2 linked regions of the Lepisosteus oculatus genome follow. The main gene of each other region encodes a partner of the protein of the gene in region 2 in a complex. Links are inferred from orthologs where the notes say so. Each region holds a gene or a part of one and is shown on either strand. Other genes may lie near its edges.

The links.
Region 1: the proteins of oprl1 (region 2) and prepronociceptin are in contact, whole or in part, in a cryo-EM structure (PDB 8F7X), measured with the Homo sapiens proteins. The link is inferred for Lepisosteus oculatus from reciprocal best matches to the Homo sapiens genes OPRL1 and PNOC. Residues at the interface, in NP_000904.1 of Homo sapiens: Gln107, Asp110, Gly114, Phe115, Trp116, Val126, Ile127, Asp130, Tyr131, Met134, Gln192, Glu194, Ile198, Glu199, Cys200, Leu201, Val202, Ile219, Val279, Gln280, Val283, Gln286, Gln291, Pro292, Ser293, Val298, Leu301, Arg302, Thr305, Tyr309; in NP_006219.1 of Homo sapiens: Phe130, Gly131, Gly132, Phe133, Thr134, Gly135, Ala136, Arg137, Lys138, Ser139, Ala140, Arg141, Lys142, Leu143.

Annotation. Positions count from the first base shown.
Region 1 is NC_090697.1:60,107,734-60,118,579, forward strand, and holds the start of prepronociceptin, read right to left. Parts: upstream 4,400-10,846; 5' UTR 4,315-4,399; intron 1-4,314.
Region 2 is NC_090711.1:5,176,445-5,188,275, reverse strand, and holds the start of oprl1 (nociceptin receptor), read right to left. Parts: upstream 4,298-11,831; 5' UTR 3,519-4,297; intron 3,154-3,518; 5' UTR 3,140-3,153; coding exon 2,928-3,139; intron 1-2,927.

The sequences.
Region 1 (10,846 bases), on a different chromosome or scaffold from region 2:
GAATAAACTGCAAATCAAAACCTGATTTCCTGACTCTAAGAAAGAATCTGCTTTCTAACATATATACATTTTTTCAGTTTGCAGAAGGGATCATTAATAACCTGGTTTTCCTTCAAGGTCTTCAATGCCATCACTGACCAGTACTGGTTCAACCTTCCTTAGCATCAGAGTTCAAAAAGCACACACATTTGGACATGTGTGTGCTTTTTCTGTTCTGTGAACATTTGGACATTCTCTGTTCTGTGAAAGTTTGGACTTTCACTGTTCTGTGTTGTGCTACAGTATATTCTCCTCACCCTGCTTCTCTTCTGTATTCTCTGCTGTTACGTACCTTAACCAAGCAAGGACCCTGAAGGAAGCCAGCCACAAAGTATGCAATCTTAATATTAAAGATTATTTTTGTATCTTATTTCTGCTATGAAAACAAGTTTTACCTGTACATGTAGAATGGGAAATACAGGAATCATACCAGAAATGTAAATTTATTTCACAGTGAAAGACTAGATGAACAACCTAATCCAAAGCAAATTCAATTAAACCTACCAGAAAAGCAGGAAAGCTGAGACTGTGTGATTTTAAAAGGACAAAAATCTTAAATCATATTAAGTCTCTTACCATCGGCATTGAAGCAAAATATGGTTATGACATGAACAGTTTCTTACTGTAGTATGTAATGTAAATGAGGAACTCATGAAATCTGGTAGAAGTACTCAACTTACAGAACAATGCACAATAGACTGGGATGGTCATTAGTTGTTATCGGATTAAGATAATTTTTATTTGTCAGATGCATGATAACACAGAAGAACACAGAATATTTTTCAGCAAACCTGAAAAAGTTTGGTTTAATCCAGTGAAAAAAGTGCATAGTTTTGGCCACCACTGGAAGCCTAACAAGCTGTATGTTTCATCGCACTAGGTTGCAGATGCTCTCTGTCCTGGCCAAGTGCTTTTCACTGGTCTCTGCACCACATATGATACATGCCAACCCAAGTCAAGTGAGTTGGGCATCCATAGCACAACTGTCACACTCGCAAGAAAGCCATTCCATTGTTAGGTGAGCATCATAGGAATTAATGTGTCGTCCTGCTGGAGAGCTGTTACATGTATGTCAGGATGGTTGCACACCGCTTATAGACATAGTGATAAGGAACTGCTTTGAATGTTCAGATCTTTCTGAAACTTTCAATGGTTCAGCACATCTCTCCAGTACGTCACAACAGAAATGTACAGTATGCAACATGTGTGCATCTTCAGATGTGCAATGTGACCATCCAGTTCTATGTCATATTGAAATCCCTCAAACAGCACCACAACATAAATCAATGGAAAGTACATGTACATATTGGGACTTATTTTAAAATCCTGCAAATGTTTTCCATTATGCCCTGATTCCTTTATTTGGTGGAAATTAGAATATAGTCACAATCTTCTTTTATTTTTCCTTAATCACTGACACAGCACATACTATTCCAGACTAAACTGTTAAAGGACACCCTTTCCTCTCCCTTTTCTTTTCTATTTAGTGCTTACAACGTTGAAGATTTAGATTAATCTCTGTTTCACTAGAGACACCTTAACAAAAACAATGATTTCAAGGAAATCAAGAACCCTGATTTTGACTTGCAGGAGAGAATTTCATACTACCCAGTAGCAAGAGATAAACATAACATGTTGAAAGGTCATAATATGGTATTAAATGCATTATTTTTAAATATACCAAATTACCTCTTTATTGATGAATTACCAGACACCTATATCCAGAGAGGAGAGGCTTATAGAAGCTAGGCAAGCTTTGTGTCACAAATTACTTGCTGCAGAGGCTTTTACAATATGACTTTGGTTTTAACTTTCATCCAAAGGAACAATACATAATGATCCTAAGTAATGTAAGTTCATGTACAGTACTTTATCAAGTAACAGTAATGAGCCAGAACCTGAGCTTGGGATATGAACTTGAAATATCTCATAACCAGACCCTTAATCTTAATTACTTAACTAGCAAACCCTTGTCATTATCCCATTTTGGTTTTCAGTGCAAAGAGACCATTAGATTTATTTTTAATTTTTGGGGGGTTAAGTGTCTTTTCTGGGTTGTCCATGAGACAGTATAATTTCAACATTGAAGCTTGCAAACATTTTGCAGAATTAGGAAGTTTCTGTGAACATTTACTGGAAGAAATCTCATTAACGAACCACTTATTTATGTTTAGCGTGGTTTGTGCGCATTTCTAAAAAAAGAAATCAGCATGATGACTATAACCAGTTACTTTTGGGTGGAAGTATGATGACACATTGTGTCAACTGTCAATCATCAGGCAGAGACTCTCCGAAAAGCTGTTTGCTAACGAAGGACAATTGCTATAAAAGTCAATGTGCGAGATTGAAAAAGCAATGTGAGATTCTCATGTTGTGATCGGGCTCAGTAGGATTTTAAAGCATGAAACATCGCGCACAAAGTCAGATATTAATCTCCCTGCCCCAGTCGCCTGCATTATCTTGGCACAGACTGTTTCTTTGAAAAGAGCACACAACAGTGTTCCCCTTCCCTGAGGCCAGAGCCTTTCATTACTGGAGATTGTTAATGGTGTCAGAAGTCTGTGAAGATAATCTGTGATGGCAGAATAAATCCACTGAAAAAAATAATAGCAAAAGCCAGACACCTATTTATCTTATTTACTACCTTTCTCGACAAGTCCCCATTTTTCAGAGGTGCAATTATCATCAATATATAACCCATAAAATATATGCAGATAGTAAAAAATTTGAAGTATCTTGGAATTATGTGTACTACCTTGAGTATTCTCCATGTGGAAAAAGGTGTAGTATTTCCAAATCAGATTATATGTTAACAAAAAAATGATGTGGGGGGTCCTCACAGAAACAGACACAAAGCATGTACGATAGTGTTATATATAGAGCTCAGAAATTCATCAATGAAAATGTAGTTCGTACATTTTCTTTGTCAAATTAACCCCGAGACCAAAAAAAGGAATTTTTTAGATGGAATACACCAGAATGAAGTTTTAGTCAGTGGGTACACAGTTTTAGATAAAGCTAAGAGTTGGAAAATATTAACAAGGAACACAAAACAAATGTATTTCAAATGTAAAAATGTTTGACAGTTTGTGCATAAAAGTGAAGGAAGTGAATGAAGGAAAGGAGTATATTAAAACAGGTTTGTAAAGACTTCCATATGGCATTTGAGATTTCTGTTCTTCATGCTAATTTGCATTAATACATTTTGCAAACCAAAAATAATTGTAATATGATGATGGTAATCATACTTCTTATTATAGTCTCTTAAATGTGACAGGCTATGATAGGCTGAATATTTCCATCTCCATGACTGAAGTTCTAAAAGTTAAAAACTTCAACCCTTTAAATGGATTCAACTTTATTTAATATATACAGTACAATATACTGTATACGCTAGAAAATTTTAAAAAGTTTAATACTTATCTTTTAGACTTTCAATGACTCAGTGCATAAATTGCCTCTCAGAAGATAAATTTAAGGATATACAGTATAGCCCCCTTTAGTCTATGAAATGCAGAAAAATATTAGCAGATATCAAAGATAATAAATTAATTAAGTGCAGGAGAGAAAATCTTTTGTAATTTTTTTTTAAAAAAGAATGTGTAAATCATTTAAAAGTTACCGAGTAATGAAAATGAACTAATTGAAGAATGTAGAGTACAGTCATTTTAATTTCCAAATTGATTATAGTAGATTATAGTAGATTTAATTTCCAAGTAGATTATATTTGGGGAAAAAATAAAAAGAATAAGAGCTGCAAAGACACTACACTTTGAAGAAACTAACATTTTGGACAACATAAACTTTTAACTGGACTGTTTCAAAGAACGTGAACTAAGCCATGCAGATCTTTTTTAAATTTAACAACAGAAAACAAATTATATAAGGAATGTCTTAAAAGAAAAGGAGTAAATGAAACATTAAGAAATGATACGAGCAAGTGACCTGTAAAACCTACAGTCCAAGACAGGGAACGACAAGACAATAGAAAAAGAACACAAACATGAAAAAAAGATCTATTTTTGATCTTGGAAAATGCAAAGAAACAAAAATCCAAAAAATCATAAAATTATGCCCCTTTGAGAATGAGAGATACAAATGTTTAAATGGAAGACAAGAAAACTTCCACAAACTGAAAAGCACAGAGAGCAAGAGATCACTTCCAGGGGAAAAAAAAGAGAACCTGTCTCTTCAAAAGCAATTGATGCTAGCCCTCACCCCCAATCAGAAACAATCCCCAGAGCTGAAGCTGATGAAAACCCTGCCAATCCCTACCTCTCTGTGTTGAAATCTGATGAGTCCTTTGCTTTGGGAATCAGGATGTGGCAGTACTGTCCTGTCTTCTGCTCCTGAAGTAACTGGAGTGCTCCTGTCATGCTGCTCTCTTATATTGACACACCCCTCCCCTTAGTCCATCCTCTCTCATAGCCTCCCTCCCTCCTGCTCTCTTAGAGAAAGAGACAGCTTCCTGCGCAGGAGGCAAGAGAGACAGACAGATGGACACATTAAGTGACTCAAAGACAGCATACTACCAACCTGCGTCACTTGCCTCTCATTTCCGGGAATGGACGAGGTGCAAAAAAATAAAATAAATTCCCAGCATTGCCGCACCCATCCCCCATCTCTGTAACAGTCTTTGTGGGTCTCTGTTTCTCTCAACACTAAAGTCAAAACCTACTCTCATGCATAGTTGTCTTTTTTAAAAGGATCATGTCTTATGGGTAACTGGGCTCTTCCCCAGTTAGGTTTGGGGGACTCCTCCAGTCTCAACTGCAATTCCTTTAAAACATTCTGTGCAGATGATGCAGAAGGACTTAATTATTAAATATACTTTGTATTTGTTGCAGGTATCTAATTCAGAAATAATAACATTTAAATCTTGAAATTACCTCTTCCATCAAAATCTTTTGGGTTCATTTTAATTATTTCTGCCTCAATATGTATTTATTCATTTGCTGAGCTCATGTTAATTAGAGACACAGATGTGGTTTCTTCAACATCATTCCTAACTTTAGCAAAGAATGATAAATTAAATTAGGGGGTGAATATTAATGTATTTATATGCTTAGAAAACATTCAATAGCAACACTTGTGCAATCTGCTATACATACCAGTACACAGAACCTGCTCAACTCCAGCGTCAGTGTATCCCAGATTTGCCAGACTGATTTCACAGCACTGGAATCCTGAAGTACTAAATATATGGATTTTGCATCCTAATGTCCATGTGGATGTCCTCCGGGTGCTCCAGTTTCCTCCCACAGTCCAAAGACTAGCATTTTAATTGGTTTCTTGGAAAGCTGGGCCTAGATACTGTATGTATGTGTCTGCCCTGAAATGGACTGGCATTCTGTCCAGTGGTGTATCCTGCCTTGTGCCCATTGCTTGCTGAGATAGATAAGAGATCTTATTAGATCACTTTATTGGCCATATACAATTTCTTGTATTAAGAGTTTGTCTTTTCACATACCCGAACTTGCTCTCCATGAGACACACACAGACAGGGTGGGGTGGGGTAGGATGAGTACCATCAGTACTCAAGTTCAGTAAAGTCTAGGAAATATTCTGTGGCCATTCTATGTACAGAAAATGTTGCTTGGCTTACACCCAGTTCTGTTCCTTTTCCTTTTTTTTAGGAGTGCTGTAATCTACGGACAAGCTCTGGCACTCAGTAATCAGGCAACCAGTCAGTACTCATCAGTAATCAGTTGAAGACCTCAGATACAGGTGAGCCAGAAAGCAGGTTCAGTCGCTTGTCTTTAAATTCTTTATCAGCTCCATACAGACTTGGCAGGAGCACTGCAATTCAGTGTCTGCTTAAGAACTTGGAAAGTTTTTTAGGATCTGGACTTGATGAAAGATTCTGTACATAGATACACGTTTTATTCATTCACCCAAAGCTAATGTCATCCCAAATTCCTTTCCTGTTCACCCAAAAATAAATAGCCAGGAAATGACAAGGCACTATAGTATCTTATGCATAAAGAAAATATGTCATTTTGTTTTTTGCATCTTAGGTTTAAAGTGGTATGGTTTTATTTTAACTCAATTCTGAACTTAAATAGTTGCATGAAACTGGAGTTATTAAATCACAAATAGAACCAGACTGGATTTCATAACCATTTTGCTACATTCTCATTCAAAAATGTAATAGTGAATGTTTTTTTTTTGTAATATAAGCATTAAATAAGTTGACTCTAAATACATTTTCAGCTATCAAAACCGGAAAAGCCCTACATATCCCAAACAAATAAGTAAGAAATATTTTTTCTCATTAAAAGGATGCTTCCAGAAATATAAGTTAAAGCAATGATAATACCTCACTTGTTAGGAGAGATGCAATTTCACGGAGAGGTGCAGTCTGATTGATGGCTCAGCTACTGGAACAGACCTGTGGGAGTTATAGCAGTGGGTAGGGGAAGCGTGGTTCCATGGAACACTGATTTAAGAGAGCAAACTATTGGACAAGCTAGCTGGTACATTTTGCGTCAGTCTCTCATTTACTTATTTCATGTAAAATATTTCTTGTCTTCCGGTAATTCAATATCACACCTTGAGGTCACAAGATCCTCTAGTTTTAATTCCATCTGAGCTCTCATTGACTTAATTGCTGTAATTTCGCAACCTCCTCCTCTTCAACCAATAACCTTCAAACAATGCATCCCAACCCATAATATAATCCTCCACAAAATGTATCACATAAAAAATAAAATAATTATACACTACCTCAAACAATGCATTAATGGAATTGTGACCTTCCCCACCCAAATCTAGAAAATCCACTGTCCTTTTTGACAAAATAAAAATACTGTACCGCCTACACACATTTCTTTAATGTATAAAGCAGAAACTCACTACTTACCTTTTAGAAAATAATTACTCTTAGGAGAACAGAAAAAAACAATAAATCCTTTGGTTCGAAAGGTAAAATATGTGCAATTGAAAATCTATCTGAAATCATTCAAGCCTAAGGGAAAAAAACAATGGAGTTGCCTCATATTTGGTAAATATGAACTCCTCCACACTCAAGAGCTCAAAGTAATTCAGCCCTTCAGGATAATAAAGCTATATGTCAATGGTCAGTACAAAAATCATATTGCTTTGCTTAACTATGTCAAATTTCCTTTAAATGCCTTGTGAGTTATAATTAGTATTCTGAAACAAAAAATATTATTTATTGTTCTTTTATCAGTATTCTTTTCATTTTCTATACAAGTCACAGAAAAAAAACAAAGTTTCTTAGCATGTCTTTTAAAATAAGCTAATATGCATGACCTCCTCAAATTATTATACACATTATATTTTATCGTTGTTATCTCCAAATTAATTTTTCAGGGGCAATGCTCCATTATAAGGCTTTGAATGAGCAACTTTCAAAACTATGTTAACGGTTTTTAAATTCTTTCATTATTTTATTTAGAGTACCAGTGGAATAAAACTAATGTACTGTACTTGAGGTAGAAGAAATAATGTCTTTAAGTGACTTTCTGACAAGTGAGAGAATTTCTTTTTGACTGAACTAGGAAAATTGTACTGAGTTTTCTCTTGTAGCAGAGATACTCCATACAGAATGGAATAATGAGGAAAGGATCTTTCCCTGGTACTCTTAATATTGCCAACCAGCTATATTAAATAACAACAGAATGTAATTTAAGAGAAGAAATCCAAGTTCCCATATGAATTGAGGCAAACTCTGCCACATCTTTCAGGACCTTATGCAGACAACACAATCCGGAAGGGAGAGAGAAAACATAGGGAAAAAGACTAGGTACTAGGTTAGGGGCTGGAAGAAGAACAGGGGGCGTGTCCAAGGTGCGCTGGTGTTCGGGGAGGGGCGTGTGTGTGTCCAGGGCAAACAAATCCAAAGGAGTCTGTAAGATAAACCAGGGAAAGTCAATGTCCAAATCCGGGTGATCCATCCTGACACAGACAAACGGAGTTAAAAGCCGGAGCGGGATCTGTGAAGGGTCGGGGGAATAAAAGGGGGGTAACGGGGCCGGACGCTCCCAGTCCCGGACCCAGATGGTCAGGATGCCGTTCTGAAGCCTATGCCGTTGAGCAGCTCCTGGACTCGCTGGTAGGCGGGCTTCCGGGCATCCATCGTCCAAAGCTGAGCCTAGATTGGCAGGAACATCTGGCTTTAATAGCACGGGGCCAGGAACCGAAGGCAGGTGCAGGAGATTACGAATAAAACAAGGAAGGGCTAGAGCGTCCTTAAGAGGAGGGGTTTACAATTGTGACAAAAACTAAATTGTAGTAATACAATATTTCTGATTTTTATAAGTTACAATCCTGTAACTCTCAATAATTATGCATACAGTACATAGTAAATCTTTGACCCATTCCAAAGGAGGATTTGACAAATGAGGGGATTTAGTTTTCTAATGGCCTTTCATTCTCCCCTGGTTTGACCATTTCTGTCCATATACATCTAAGAAGGTCCAAGAACTGAAAATAATGCATTCTGAAAACTGTAGATCTCAGAATAGCCTGATTTAGCTGTTGTACCCTTAGTTGAGTCAGTAATGAAACCATACTAATACACAAGTACAAGTCACTTAATGCTGTTGTGTTTATATTATATCCATTTTGAGCCCATTGTTTGGCCAAATGTATACAATAAGGCTACTTTTTAAAATTGATGTAGTTCTGCATTAATAATAACTTATAATTGCTGAATTGGATGCCTAACTGTTGATATGTAGAGATTAGAAATGTAAATAATAAAGAGATTCTAACTATAATTAAGAATGAACTCCTTATATTTTAGATGCTGTTGTCTTGCTCAGTTTAAAACACTGGGAATTTCAGTATTTTCAGAATTTTTACAGTTGTCAGTTGGTCAGAGACCTCTAAGGACTCAGCAATCTGGCTATTCTACAAAAATTAGTATGAATAATGGCTTTCATACAACTTGCTCTGTAAATTAAAGCTTGTGAATGTTGTTGTTTAAAAGCTTAAAGTAAAGTCATGTCATATTAGTTTTAATGGTAAAAACAAAAATGAGGAGCACAATTCATTAAGCAAACATAATGGAAAAAATATGGTTATAATATTAATTTTAGAAATATAATAAGCAAGTAACTTAAATGATGAAGTGAAACAATTTAACAGTGAGTATAATTATCTAGTTTCAATCTGAAAACTAGCACTAGGGTACTCCTGGATGGGTGAACTGGTAAAATATGAAATTGAATATAATTCAGAGCTCTGCCATTTTGAAAAATGAACTGCAGTTCAGATGTACAGTAGGCCCTAAAATGCACACATCACTGTTCTGAATATTGGCTCTTTCATAATCGATTTTACTTGCTAGTTGTCCACAAAGCTGGATTGTGGTTAAGAGCATTCAAACTAAATTTGCCATAATTTTGTGAATTCTACAGCCTGTACTCAGCTTCTACGTTGGTAACTAGTCAGACATGACCCTGCGCTGTATCAGTGCCCTCCATCAGCCTGCTATTATTGCATTGGATATGTACAGTAGATAGAGAGCAAGAATCTGGAGGCAGTGTGTATTTTGTAGGAGATACAAACGCTGTCTACATTTCTCCCCTGCCAGTTCAAAGGAAGCTGCAACACAAGATTATTTACAATTGGTAAATGAAAAACAGGTGATGTATAAACAGGGTCCTGCTTTTAAAAATGAAACGGCCCATTCATAAAAAGAAAATTTTTAGATATGATATATTTAGGCTAGATTTGTTGCAGATTTAATCATTTCAAGTCATATGCATCGCATCTGGTTCTTTTTTAATCTTTGTTATTCAATTAATTTTTCATTACAAGTAATTCAAATTGACACATGGGCTCCTCTTGAATTTTTTTTTCGGTGTCTAATTAGGGTTTTATAATTTCTCTCTAATGGCTTCAATTCAAAATCATCTGTTCTTAGTCACAGTAATTATGTGTCTATATTGCAGGGGGTCAAACAAATTGATGAGTATTGCAATTACCTAAAAAGAATGTTTTATTTATTTTTACTTCAAATTATTATTTTAATCATTTCAGTTTGTGTTGATTTCACTTTAACGCGTTTGTTTGAATTTTCTTAATTACATGCATTGCTCTTTTTAATTTGGTTTATTATGAATTCACTAGTTTTTTTAGTCACTAATTTGAAAAATATAGAATACCTGTCCCTATTTGACTCTTTCTTCTCAGGTGAAAGCACTCCCTGTTAAATTGCTGTAGGTTGATGGAAGAAAAAACATTGAAATAATATGTACTTTTTTACCAAGTGTTTAGTTCTCATCAATATGAAAGCCACAAAGACACCCCTTTATCCATTGCAGGACTCTTATTTAAACAGATAATTTCTGCTATTACTTGTGATTGCACAGATTCTTGATATTGGGGTTGATTCTGGCCTCTCGTGTAGAGTTTGCACTGGCTATGTTTCATCGATTACCCTAAATTGTCCCTTCATCTCCTTGGCCTTGCAAAGGGGTTGGCATTCCATCCAGGGAGACAGAAGTTGTGTGCTCTGAGGCTTGGAGGCTTGGAACTTCCCTGTGTTTAAGGGATTCAGCTTCCTGCAACCCTAGCCAGGACAAACAGATTATGACGAATGCACAGATGATGTTTATAGAGCACACTATGATCAATTTGTTGTTTAAACAAATTCAAAGGTGGGAATGTAAATGTTAAAAGTTACATGACTGTTACAGGAACATAATGTATGGCGTCACCTTTCAATGACAGACTACATTTATTTATCAGTAAAATAAGAATTCTTTTAAAACTTAATTTTGTTATGTTTGGGGGGAGGACATACACTAATAAACCTGTGTTATAGCTCATGCAC
Region 2 (11,831 bases):
AACTAGAGGACTAAACAACACAAAATACCGATGTGACCTATAAGATGAAGATAATACTGACATTCATTTCTGTCCTTCAAGAAAGCCTTCAGAGAGGTATTGTTTTCCTATGAATCAGATTCCAAATAAGCCTTTACACATGAGGCTAAAGAATTTCAAATCTTTCTGCCCTAATGTACAGTACAATTTGCTCCATTATCTCTGTCTTCAAACAGAATCCAGCCAAAATTCCTAAATTATGCTAAAGCAAAAAAAATAAAACACTTAATATACAGTACCTTGTTCATATTTATTTTGCCTTTCTGGACTTGCAAGTTTATTATAAGAGTTTGTTTCAGAATATCAAAATCAGATTTTACAATATCTGCAAGTAAAAAGATGTGACAACCAGCCTAAGAGTCTTTAATCATGTTTAACAGTAACATTTTGTAAAATTGTTAATATTTTAAACCTTTCATCAAAATACACCTTTGTTATCTTCATTCTTCTGATTTGGTAGTTTTGAAGGCACACAATATCTAACTTAGCAAAAAATATTAGCAGAAAAAAAAAATCAGAATCTGGATCCTTAATACACCTATACCCTAAGGTTGTTTTGTTTCAAAATTTTAAACAATAGATGTCGAACACGGCATACTGAATAAAGATAAATATTTTGGATGGGTGTGTTTGTACATAAAAATAAGAGTTAATAAATTTACTTTTATACATTCCTACTGTCTTATCATATTAAGTATTATCATTTTTTTAAAAAAGATAAATGGTTCCACCTCCATTTCACTGTTCCTTAATAACAGATATTCAAATGTGTTTGTAGTACTGACAATTATATATCAGAACTCACATATTGGTCAGAGTATGCTTTGGCACTGAACATTTCTAAGACTATGATAGCAGTGTTAAACTGATGTAATTCTGTACAATGCCATTTGTTACTCAATAAATGTAAGTGTTCCACTGTTAGTGTTTGTCCTGAGCCAGTGGCATTCCATACTTCACAGACTGTTCTCTTAAATTGTAAAATTGCATAACCCCATGAAGAGCTGCTATCTGACTTAGCACTAGACACATTTTTATACCAGATAGCACTGATCATGGCTTCTACTGGGTTTCATACATGTCCTAGATAAATATATATAGAGGACATCTCTCTATATTCAGTACATCACACACCAGAGCTATTCAACCTGCAGTCTATCCAAGCCAGTCCTTTGAATAATTTTGCAGCAAGCAGCTGCTCACTTCAGTAATTAGTAAGTAGTAAGTGGGATCAATATAGTAACTGAGGTTCTGGTTGCACTAGAGTACAACAGAGAAGTGAATCAGAGGGGCTGTATATTACGCGGTTCAGCTATGGATTGTTAGAAATTTCTATTTCCTATTTGTATTTTGCTATGAAAATATTTCTAAAACCAAAATGACCACCATAAAAACAAATGCCATTGTGGTTATACTTCACACTGAATTTCTCAAAAAGATGTCACATCAAAAACATAATGTTTTCAGCTTTTCTCAATGTCTTCAAAACATTTGCTATTGACTGATATTTGGAAATTGAATAAAGTATAAGTGAACTTTAAGTTCCAAACCAACCTGGAGTATCTTTGGTAACATTAACCAGAAATAGAATAGAAGCACTGACATTGGGTGAGTTTCGAGGAAGATTGTTAGATACCTGTGAACATCTAGTCAGCATTCACTCACATTCAAGGCTCACCTCAGCAGATGATCTGCTGTTTTTGCCTGGGCCTGTATTTATAAGATGACCAGCAAGCTAAGGAAATACAATTCAGTACCCTATATCAACAACAACGAAGCACAAGAAAATTAATTATGCTGCCATGACTTAACATAGCTCAAGTTAAACTATTTTATTGGACCACGTAGATTTGTTAACAGTGAGTGTGAACATGAAAAGCTGCATTGGCATTGGAGTTTGAACAAAATGCTTTAAACAGTTGAAAAATAGAAATATGTTTTGGCCTGATGAGCTCAGTCTGCTCAGATCACGAGATATAAAGCTGAAGTTGTAACTGAAATATAATCACTTGGTTGCAAACAATTCAATGGGCTTTATTGGCAATAATGACTGATACATTACAGTTCTGCCAAGGCACAACGACAGACAACAATATACAGTATTAACCACTCCAGAGAATACTGTATACTGTATATGGAACAGAACAATCACTGAAAAAAAAGAGCAGTCTGTTGTTTAATTTCTCTTTCTGCTTATTATGCTTTAATTTGCAGTTTTTTATTCATATTAAAAAAAGTTTAAAGTTTAAAAATGTGTGGTGTGAAAATACACATACAGTACTGTTGTTACAACAACACTATTGTTCAATTGCTTCACGTTTTGTGTACACAGCAATCACGTTTTCAAGGAAAGCTCATGTTTAATAATCAGAAAAATCCTCTAAAACTTTTCTTTTTACTTTAAGATCTCAATACATACGTTTTATAAGCGCGATCAAAGGCCGTTTTCCATCGTTGTTTTCGGGGCATTTCAGTAACCTTTTAGAGGTCGTCATGCAATGACACACATCACAACTTACTCAAGCAGATTTCTTTTTGCTGATATTGGTTTTGACTGATTAATTCGCTTGGAACAGATAAACAAAAAATAATCAGTCGAACACGTCAATGTGATCGAAACAACACCGCGTATCCGAGGACTTTCATAATATGGCATTATGCGGAATTTTAAACTTTTTTAAACTTAAAAGAGATACAGGAGCACAGCCTTTCATTCCACCCACATTCCAAAAGAGGGAGCAAAAGAGCCAATAAAATAACTTAAATTTTAAAAAGCATACATTATAAAACGTTTAAGGCCAACAACGCGCAGCAAATGTTTAAAGTTTAAATAAAACATCTACTGTATGTTCGAGAGTAATTTGCACGTTAGAACGTGTCTTACTTACCTGATAATGACGTACATGACCAGACAATTTCCCACCAGCCCAACTACACAGACGATCATGTACAGTACAACAATTGTAATCTTCACGCCAATGGGCAGTACCCCCTCAAAGGTGTAGTTATAAGCACTGAAGTTCATGTTAAAAGCAGAGTCGTTGAGCAATCGGCTTAGACTGGGGTCTCTAAAACCACCTGGTGCATTTGGGAAATCCATGATGAACTGCTAACCTGTTTTTAAAGAAAACAAAAGGGATACATTCCTGTCACATTTATCTCTAGACTCGGGTCCTGTTTACAGACTCTTTGATTACAGTTGAATACACCCAGCTTTATGAATTATTTGCCTCAATCACTTTTACTAAGAAAGTATGTTACATAAGAATTTGACGTCAGGTCACTTTGCACCCTAGTAATTACGTTGCATATATCAAAGGCTCATAATTGATTTTTACAGGCAACATTACAGTCAATACATATTTAATCAAAACGACTAATCACTTGTCAAGTAACAGAAAAAATCCCCCAGCACGAAAGCTAAACCCCAGTTCCTTTGCGACCCATGCAAATCATTCAGTATAGTTTCAGGTACATACCGGTATATATTGCGGACTCCACCTCTCCTTCAATATCAGCTATTTTCTCTTTTTTTGTCTCCCAAGATGAATGTCAAAGGTTCCGGTTCAGTAGATTGTTTTTTTTCCCCCTTCTTTTTAAATGTCCTCTCAGTGTTCTGTTTGCAATTCTCAAAGCCTGTTCAGGTTACTGTAGACCTCTAAGATGAACGAAACATTTTTTTTTTACATGTGAGGGGGGAGGTGTGGTAGTGTGCTTGCTGATAGATAATGCTCAATTTAAAGCGGATGTTTTTTTTTTCAGCAGGCAAAGCTGGAAACCCCCCTTCTTCTTCGTTTGTTCTGCAATCCAGATCTGATTAAGCTCACGCAGTACTGTTGGAAGCTTTACTGTGTGTTAAGGGAGACTGTTATTCTTCGCTAGTCTTAAAATACAACGCGTCTTCATGGCTTTCAGTCGAGTACAGACATCTAGTCGGTAGACTGAGCGCCCTGGTACCTCTGTGTGTGTGTCAGTGCCTCCTGTATTTTTTCCCTTCTTTTTTCTGTTTCCGTATGCGGAGAAATCAAAACTTCTGAGGTCGAACTCAATTTGTCTCCAATCACGCACTCAGAAGCTACTAGCACTGCTACTGACTGTCTTGGGTGTTTATGCTTTACAGCATCGAGTTGCTGGGCTCCGTGCCCTAACTGCATTCGGGCTAGACTCCCTTTTTAAACAAAATTAAATTGGATGCACACTATGTTGTAAACGATAAAAAAAACGATACGATTAAGAGTAATGCAGAGAAAAGCGTAAAGCGAAGCTTTATATAAAATTACACAACTTGTGTTTCAGATATACAGTACGGCATGCAGAAACTTGGAGAGAACAGCCCAACAGACGAAAGTGTACTACAAACACAATCTGTCTCTTAAAGGGGATGTAAATTATGTGTATACTGTATGTACTGTATGTTTTTGGCTGTACTTTACTAAGGTTTTTTTTTTCATCGTGGAAACGTGTCATGAAAGCATTTTACTAGATGAATCAAACACAATGTAATAACACTACTCAAACCCATGCATGTACATACAGTACAGTATATGCTGTACAATAGTATTGCAGTGGTATAAAGAAATGGCTATCAAATGGTTTTCAATGAGACAGTGGATTATGTACAGTAAGTAGTTATTAGGATGGGACAACTAACAACTTATGTTTTCATATAAATACCAAACAGGAAACATTTTTCAGCAAGTGGCTGTTCATGATTCAATCTTGGCGAATAGAGAAAGCCATATGAATAGCCCATGAATACTGTACATAATGACTTAATACATCAACAGTACATTTTGCATTAACTCCATTGAAAAGCACGTGCTGTATTACTTAATAAGTAATCACATTAAAATAACAGGCGCTTATTATGAATTGATGCGTCATGGCACAGCTACTGTAATTACTTTGACCAGAAAGCTATTGTCCTGTGGTTGGACTGGCTACAGTTAGTCGCATATTTTTACATAGCTACTGTTTTCATTATTCTCATTATTTTAATACAGGTCCGTCTTAGCCCTATAGCACGTTTCTGTCTTCTTTCCAAGGACCACAAAATATTTTTATATTGAAAAAGATTTAAGAAAGAAACATTGAGCTTTGAAAATGTGGCGTTGCATGAGTGTAAGGATACACGTCATGTTCACTACGCGCGTGCACATCTTAAATACCAGCGCATTGTAGTCATGCCCCTCTCGTCCTTTCTCATTCCCAGCTCTCTCGGTTACTGTCTGCAGGTGGAGCTATCGTTCAAAATTATGACATTTTCCTATCAATCGCACTACTGTATTACAGTACATATAGCGGAGCATCATTACTACTCGTATCAGTCCTAAATGTTTATTTCCAGTTTGTATTTTTTTGAAAAAGTTATTGAAATGATCGAAAATACAGTATCCCGATGCAATTATTCTTAATCATTAATCCTTTACAAGAAGGCATGTCAATCTGCCGCATAGAGCTGCGTGCTTGTGCGAGTTTCAAAGGCAAATCTAGAGCCTAATCCCACGCCGAAAAGTAAAAGTCTGTTGTTTATGTAAGATAAAATGTCTTTGCCATCACAACCCTGTTTGAATAATTCATATTCAAACAGCTTTTTGGAGAATTTAATTTCTTATTGTTTTTTTTTATTGGAGCGTTAAACACATGGAGCAAAACACTAGACAATTGTTCATTATCACAAAACTCTAAAAAGGTTTAAAAAATCGTTTTTATAGTATAGCCGTAGATCTGCTATAGAAGGTCATTTGAACTGATATGCTCTTAAATCATTTTTTAATTAAAATAAATTTAAAATGAGGAAAGTACCAAATAATAATATCGCAACATGCTACTGTACAATAAAACCTTCCTAGCTGAAAGCCATTTTGAATCTAAGAAGCACTTGTGCTGTCAAGGCTGTAGCTGTTGACCGCTGTCCATGGTGCTGAGCTGAGAGGTTGTGGATTTCACCGTCTCTTTCCGATCAGCGATGGCACTGCGGGAGAAAGCTCCAGCCTCGTTCCTTGGCGCTTTCCAGAACAATTCTTGGTGTAAGATATACTTTAATTCTTGCCATTCTGGAAAAAAAATGATGGCCTCCAGCCTAATCTATCGCTGAGTTCGCTGCGCTAACACCTATCCTCCAATCCGTTCCCTACAAAACCTTTAACACGACTTTTGCTCTGGCGTTACCATAGTGCCTGCAAAGCATCAATTCCTTTGTAATGAGAGCCGCGAGACAAACCAGGCTTTCTGCAAGCAAACCCAGTAGGTCCATTTCTTACAATTTCACATTTGGTTAAAATTAATTATAAAAAATGAAAATATACAAAAGCTACCATCCAAATACTGTAGCATATTGGCTTAACTTTAACTATGAAACGGGAAATAAAAAAAAAGTTAGTTTTTTTTTCCAATTTAATTGATGCCTCTGATAGAACTGGATTTTAATTCAGTCACACAAGACTTTGATTTACACAAAGATGCCAACAAAGTCCACTAATGGAGTCTGGTACAGATGTCTCTTAAAGCTGTTAAATTAAGTGATAGTGTACTGAGGCTTGTGTAGAAATAATTGGAATGTGAGCTTGACATTTTGTAAGGATGTTGGGAAATGTTAATTGGGTTGCTGTAGCTGTCAGCCTTGTTACTATGGAAAGCCACTGGAACTCTGATGCTTGTAATCAAATCTGTCTGCAGGAGCTTCAGTACTGTCATTGACTACATGTTTTTTAAAAGTCAATTACAATTCACAGAAATAATAGAATTTAATAATGAATAGCTACATTAATAAAATAACCACTATTTACTGGATGAGTACAAATAAAATAAAGTTCAGTGTAGCACTGCATTAATTTAATATTCATCTAACAATGCTTTCTGAAATATTCTAGAAGCTTGAGTTCAATATAAAAAGAAAAAAATCAGTGGCGTGTAGAGTTCTTAAAATGGACAGCCTCCTTTCACTCCTCTCCACCTCTCAGCTCAAATTCCTTTCACTTTACTGCCTCCCTTCTTCCCCCTGCGTAAAACACTTTGTCAGTCTGGGATAGACTCTTTCTTCTTAAGCATGAATACTTTTTCATGACAAAAATGTATGAATATTTAAGATTATTTTGAAAAACAAGTGCTGTAACCTTAATTGAGAGGCTTTTGAAGAATTTACAGTATATACAGTACCACTTGATTCAACAACAGAAAAGCTTCACAAGTCTTCATCTGTTCCACGTTGCAGACAAGGTTTTCTTCGTTTCCCTTCTGCTTTTGAATCCTTTAATCTGTCTTCAGAAAGCTACAGCTGTCGCACGTGTATGACCCATCCATCCGTTATCAGAAAGCCAATTTTATTTTGCCTGGTAAAGACTGTGACTCCCAGAATCTATTCCAGAAGCACTGTTCACAAGGCAGGAATATACAGCATTGCAGGGCACACACACACAGTTTAGAGACATCAGTTAACCAAGCCAGCAAATTGTGAGAGGAGAGAGGAAAGCAGAGCACCTGGAGACAACCCAACACAGTAACTGTAAGACAGAATCGGTAACCATCATGCACAATACTGCATTATCTTGAACATGTCTCATATAATTCTGCTTCTTCCATGTTTTTGATGTATATACTGTATATATAGTATATGTCCCTGGTACAGTACTCAAAATATAGATGGGTTATATACGATGCCTTTTAGACATATTCATGCCTTCCAATGATGGCCCATATTTTTGTATTACAAATGATGTACTTGACAAGTGATAAGACTCCTATTTAAAGTGAGTATTTTTAATCCAAACTGGAGAACTCAAACTGAACATACGCTGTATGGATGGATGAAATAAGTTACATGTCAGTTAAAACTGCCACAGATTAATCAGAAAATGAAATGAATATATTTTTTATTCCCAATACTTGGTGAAAGCACCTTCGAAAGTTACAGCTGCAAGGCTTTTGGATAAAGCTCTACCAACCATCAGCTACTACTACTCAAGAACATTGACTTTCTGTGTTTCTTTTATTTCTTTTTTTTGTTTGTTTCTTGGTTAAGCCAAGCCAGCGTAGTGCTGGCCTAGTGCTTTGGGTTGTTAGCTGGTGAAAGGTGAATTTCCATCCCAGTTTATGTCTAAAGCAGCGAAAACTGGTTTTGTTCAAAGATGTGCCTGTGATTTGCTCCATTCTTTTACTCCTCTTAACTTAACTTGACTTACCTCCCTTGTTCCTGCTGATGAGAAGCAACCCCATAACGTAATGCTCCCAACATAATAGCATGTCAGTTTCCAAAAACATTCATACAATCTTCATTTGCATTCATCAGTCTCCATTAGTAAACCCAGATAGGTGGCTGATCAAATATAGAATTATTAGATGGATTTCTCTGTTACAATTTGATAACAGCATCAATCAACATTATTTTCTATGTACTCTTCTGACATCTATCTCTTCTGGACCATACAGGACAGCTTGTGGGCTATTTTGTCCTGATTTGGCACAACATACTTTTGCTGAGACTGAACAAGGCCGAGCCTGATCTGTTAGAGTTGATCAAATTAATCATAATTTTATATTCCTTCAAGGACTTTCAAAACCATCTCTACTCTTACATTTCCACATGAATAAAACTAAATAACCAAAGCAGAATTTTTTAATCCAAATCTTACTTTACATTATAAATCTTTTTGGAAGTTTCATGTGTGTGCTATTGATATAAACCCTCCCCAAAAAACTTCCCTTACTCAATATACAGAATATGCTTGCAATTTTCAATCCAGGTTTTAACACTGTTACATCCTTTGTTATGATGACAACTGTGCTGTCATGTTCAGCTCTATCCTCTTTACTCAGACCAGATGAAAAGAAATACATACCACAGTCCATTTGTTTAATACAGATATTTATTTTCAAAGAATGTACTCCTGGATAATGATGGCTTTCTAAGAGCATGCAATCACTAAGAATTTAGAATATGAATGCTCAGGAGACAGTACTGCTTTATGACTTTGAATATTCGTAACTGTGATTTTCAAAGAATAACTTTGGGATTGGGAATGGTTTAACTATTAAAGACACCTGTCCAGAGCTCACACTGAGCTCTTCTGTCAAGACACCAACAGCTTGAACCTTGGCTATTTCATTATGTGATTGTCAAGTGCCTGGTTTGTATAGATCCCAGTGCCCTTAGTTATTCTTGACTTGCCAGGGATCTACCGTGATCCCTGTGACCACAGCACCTGTGAGTTTGTAATTTTAACAACAAGGCCAACATTTAATGTTAATTAGAACAATGCAGTTTTAAAGGGAGTTGTGCACAATGAACCCATCGCTTCAGTGATAGCAGGAAGTCTAGATGACGGTAATTAGCAATCACACCTTAAAATGTAAAACAAATGTTTAAGAAAGTATATGAAATAAATACATTTTCAGTAACTTGATATTATTTCTTGTGACATTACTGAAAGGTTTGGGCTACCTTGATTTTGTACTGTACTGTATGTAGGATTTACACTGGGGAGGTCTGTCATTGTGTCTGTCAAGCCACAGAGAAGCAGGCAGAGGTTAATTCCACTGTAAATGAAAACAGAAATCACAAGTTGGTCTATTCAGTATGTAAAGTTGTTTCTTAAAGATTTAAGTAAAAGTCCTGTGATGGACAGTATTTAAAAACAGTCTTACATAATACTTCCTGTTCTACCTTAATCATGTCAAAACAGAATCATTAAAATATAAAAATGTTTGCAACAACATATTTTAAAATGATACTAAGAAAAATATATATCCTGCGTATACTTATAAGGGTTGTGAGTCTAATGGAATTGATGGAATTAATAAATAAGCTGTGAGTCACTACAAAGGGTAAATAAAAGTTTCTTGGAAATAAAAATATTATTTTCTTATAACAGGAAGCAGAGAGTTTGTACATCCACTCAATAAAACTGATTATTGGAGTTTAATCTTTAAATGTCATAATGTAAATTTGTCTGGTAAATCGAGAAGGCATTAATGCAGCGTCTTCTTAATCATGCAAATCTGACTGCATATCTATTACATTTTTTAAAAGCTGAATGAACAGCCAATTAGCTTTGATCATACTGATCCTAAGGACAAAATGACAAATATTTTTTTAATACTAAACTGAGTACATACAGTACAAAACAAGAACAAAATCTATTTTGATAATGTCAGAATTACTTTGAATGCCAAGCCTCAAACATTTGAATTGTGATTATCATACCTTAGTATTTTGTATTATGTTCCCTGGTATTCATACTTAGTAATGTGCCATCAAAGTATGAGTTTTTTAATAGTATTTTAATCATGTTTGTTGAGCTCTAAATATTTTTCATGTCACTTACTTCTAAAATATGAAAATTTAACCTGGTTTTCTTTTAAGGACAAATAATAAAAAAATCATAATAGCAGCCAAAGAAGAAAGCCTTTCAAAATTGTGAATATAGAAACCATGACAATCGTTGTACTGTGCATAATAACAAATAAGACATAAATTCAAACAAATACAAATGATACATTATACCATTTCAATGGTATGAAGACTAGACTGTAGACATAATAATTCTTGGAGGAATTGAAAAAAAAGGAAGGAAGGTAAAAAAAATAGTTAAAAGCAGAAATATACTTTAGAATTTGTGTCATCTTGTCAGACTGTCAGATTTATTCCTAATGTTCAAAGCGCAGCACAGCTACTCAACAGGAAAACTGTTAAGCAACAGGTTATATTAATCCATTTTTCCATCCTTTCATATAAACCACTGGCCAGATACATTTCAACATTCATCTTAATTTTGTTTAAATCTTAAAAGAATTCCTTATAAGAAATAAGAATTATTTTCCAAGAATACAAAACAGAAGTGTCAGGAATAATTTCCAGTTTAATTAATAGACATATTTAATGACAAACATCTTTTAATGCTATCCTTCAGGGAGTAGCATTTTACTGGTTGTGCTGTTCATATTCTGTATCACCAAAAAACATGCAAAACCTATAGTGATCCACCTCCCAGCTGTTCTCATTTGAAGACTTTCTGATACCTCACTGTTTTTATCCAATATAATGAGCTGAGATTGAGCTGATATCTCAGGAAAACTGGTAAGATCTACAGACTGCCTTCCACACACTAGTTCCATGAAATGGCAAACAGTTAAAGCCTCTAGCAGAAGTGCTGATAGGGAAAGTAAGCCTGTGAGCACAGACCTTTTATTTGGTTCTGTCTCTCTGACACCTCGTTCACAGCTGCTCTTTAAGATTCTTGTGTTTTTTTCAATCATACATGTGACTCATGAAATGAGTCACATCACAGTGCCTTTCGAATTATTTCATCAATATGAACATCTCCACTAAAAATAACAAAATTCATTACAATTAAATAGAATGTGGGATCCCCATGGATAAAAAAACTGATACAGTCTTAGGTAAAATGTAGAAATAATAGGAATACTGTAGCATCCCCACCACCAACACAGACATACACATACTGCACAAACACATCTACAGTATGTTCTATTATTCAAGGTGCTTTTTGTGGAAATGCACATTTTTAAAATATTGCCATTATTTCATGACTGATCTGTACGTTATAGGTGACTTCTGTAAAGTCACCAATGTAAAGGAAATTAATTAACGCTGGATTTTGTATTGATTTACCAAACGTCTGCGCTTGTCAGTCTTAATTGTACAAGTTGGTGCTAGAAGCAGTGTGATTGCATTGCAGAGTAAGTTACAAGTGCATTCAAAATCAGCTAATATGGATGATGTTATAAGCATGTTCATTCTTAAATCCTTCAGGACACACAGGGCTTGTTCTTAG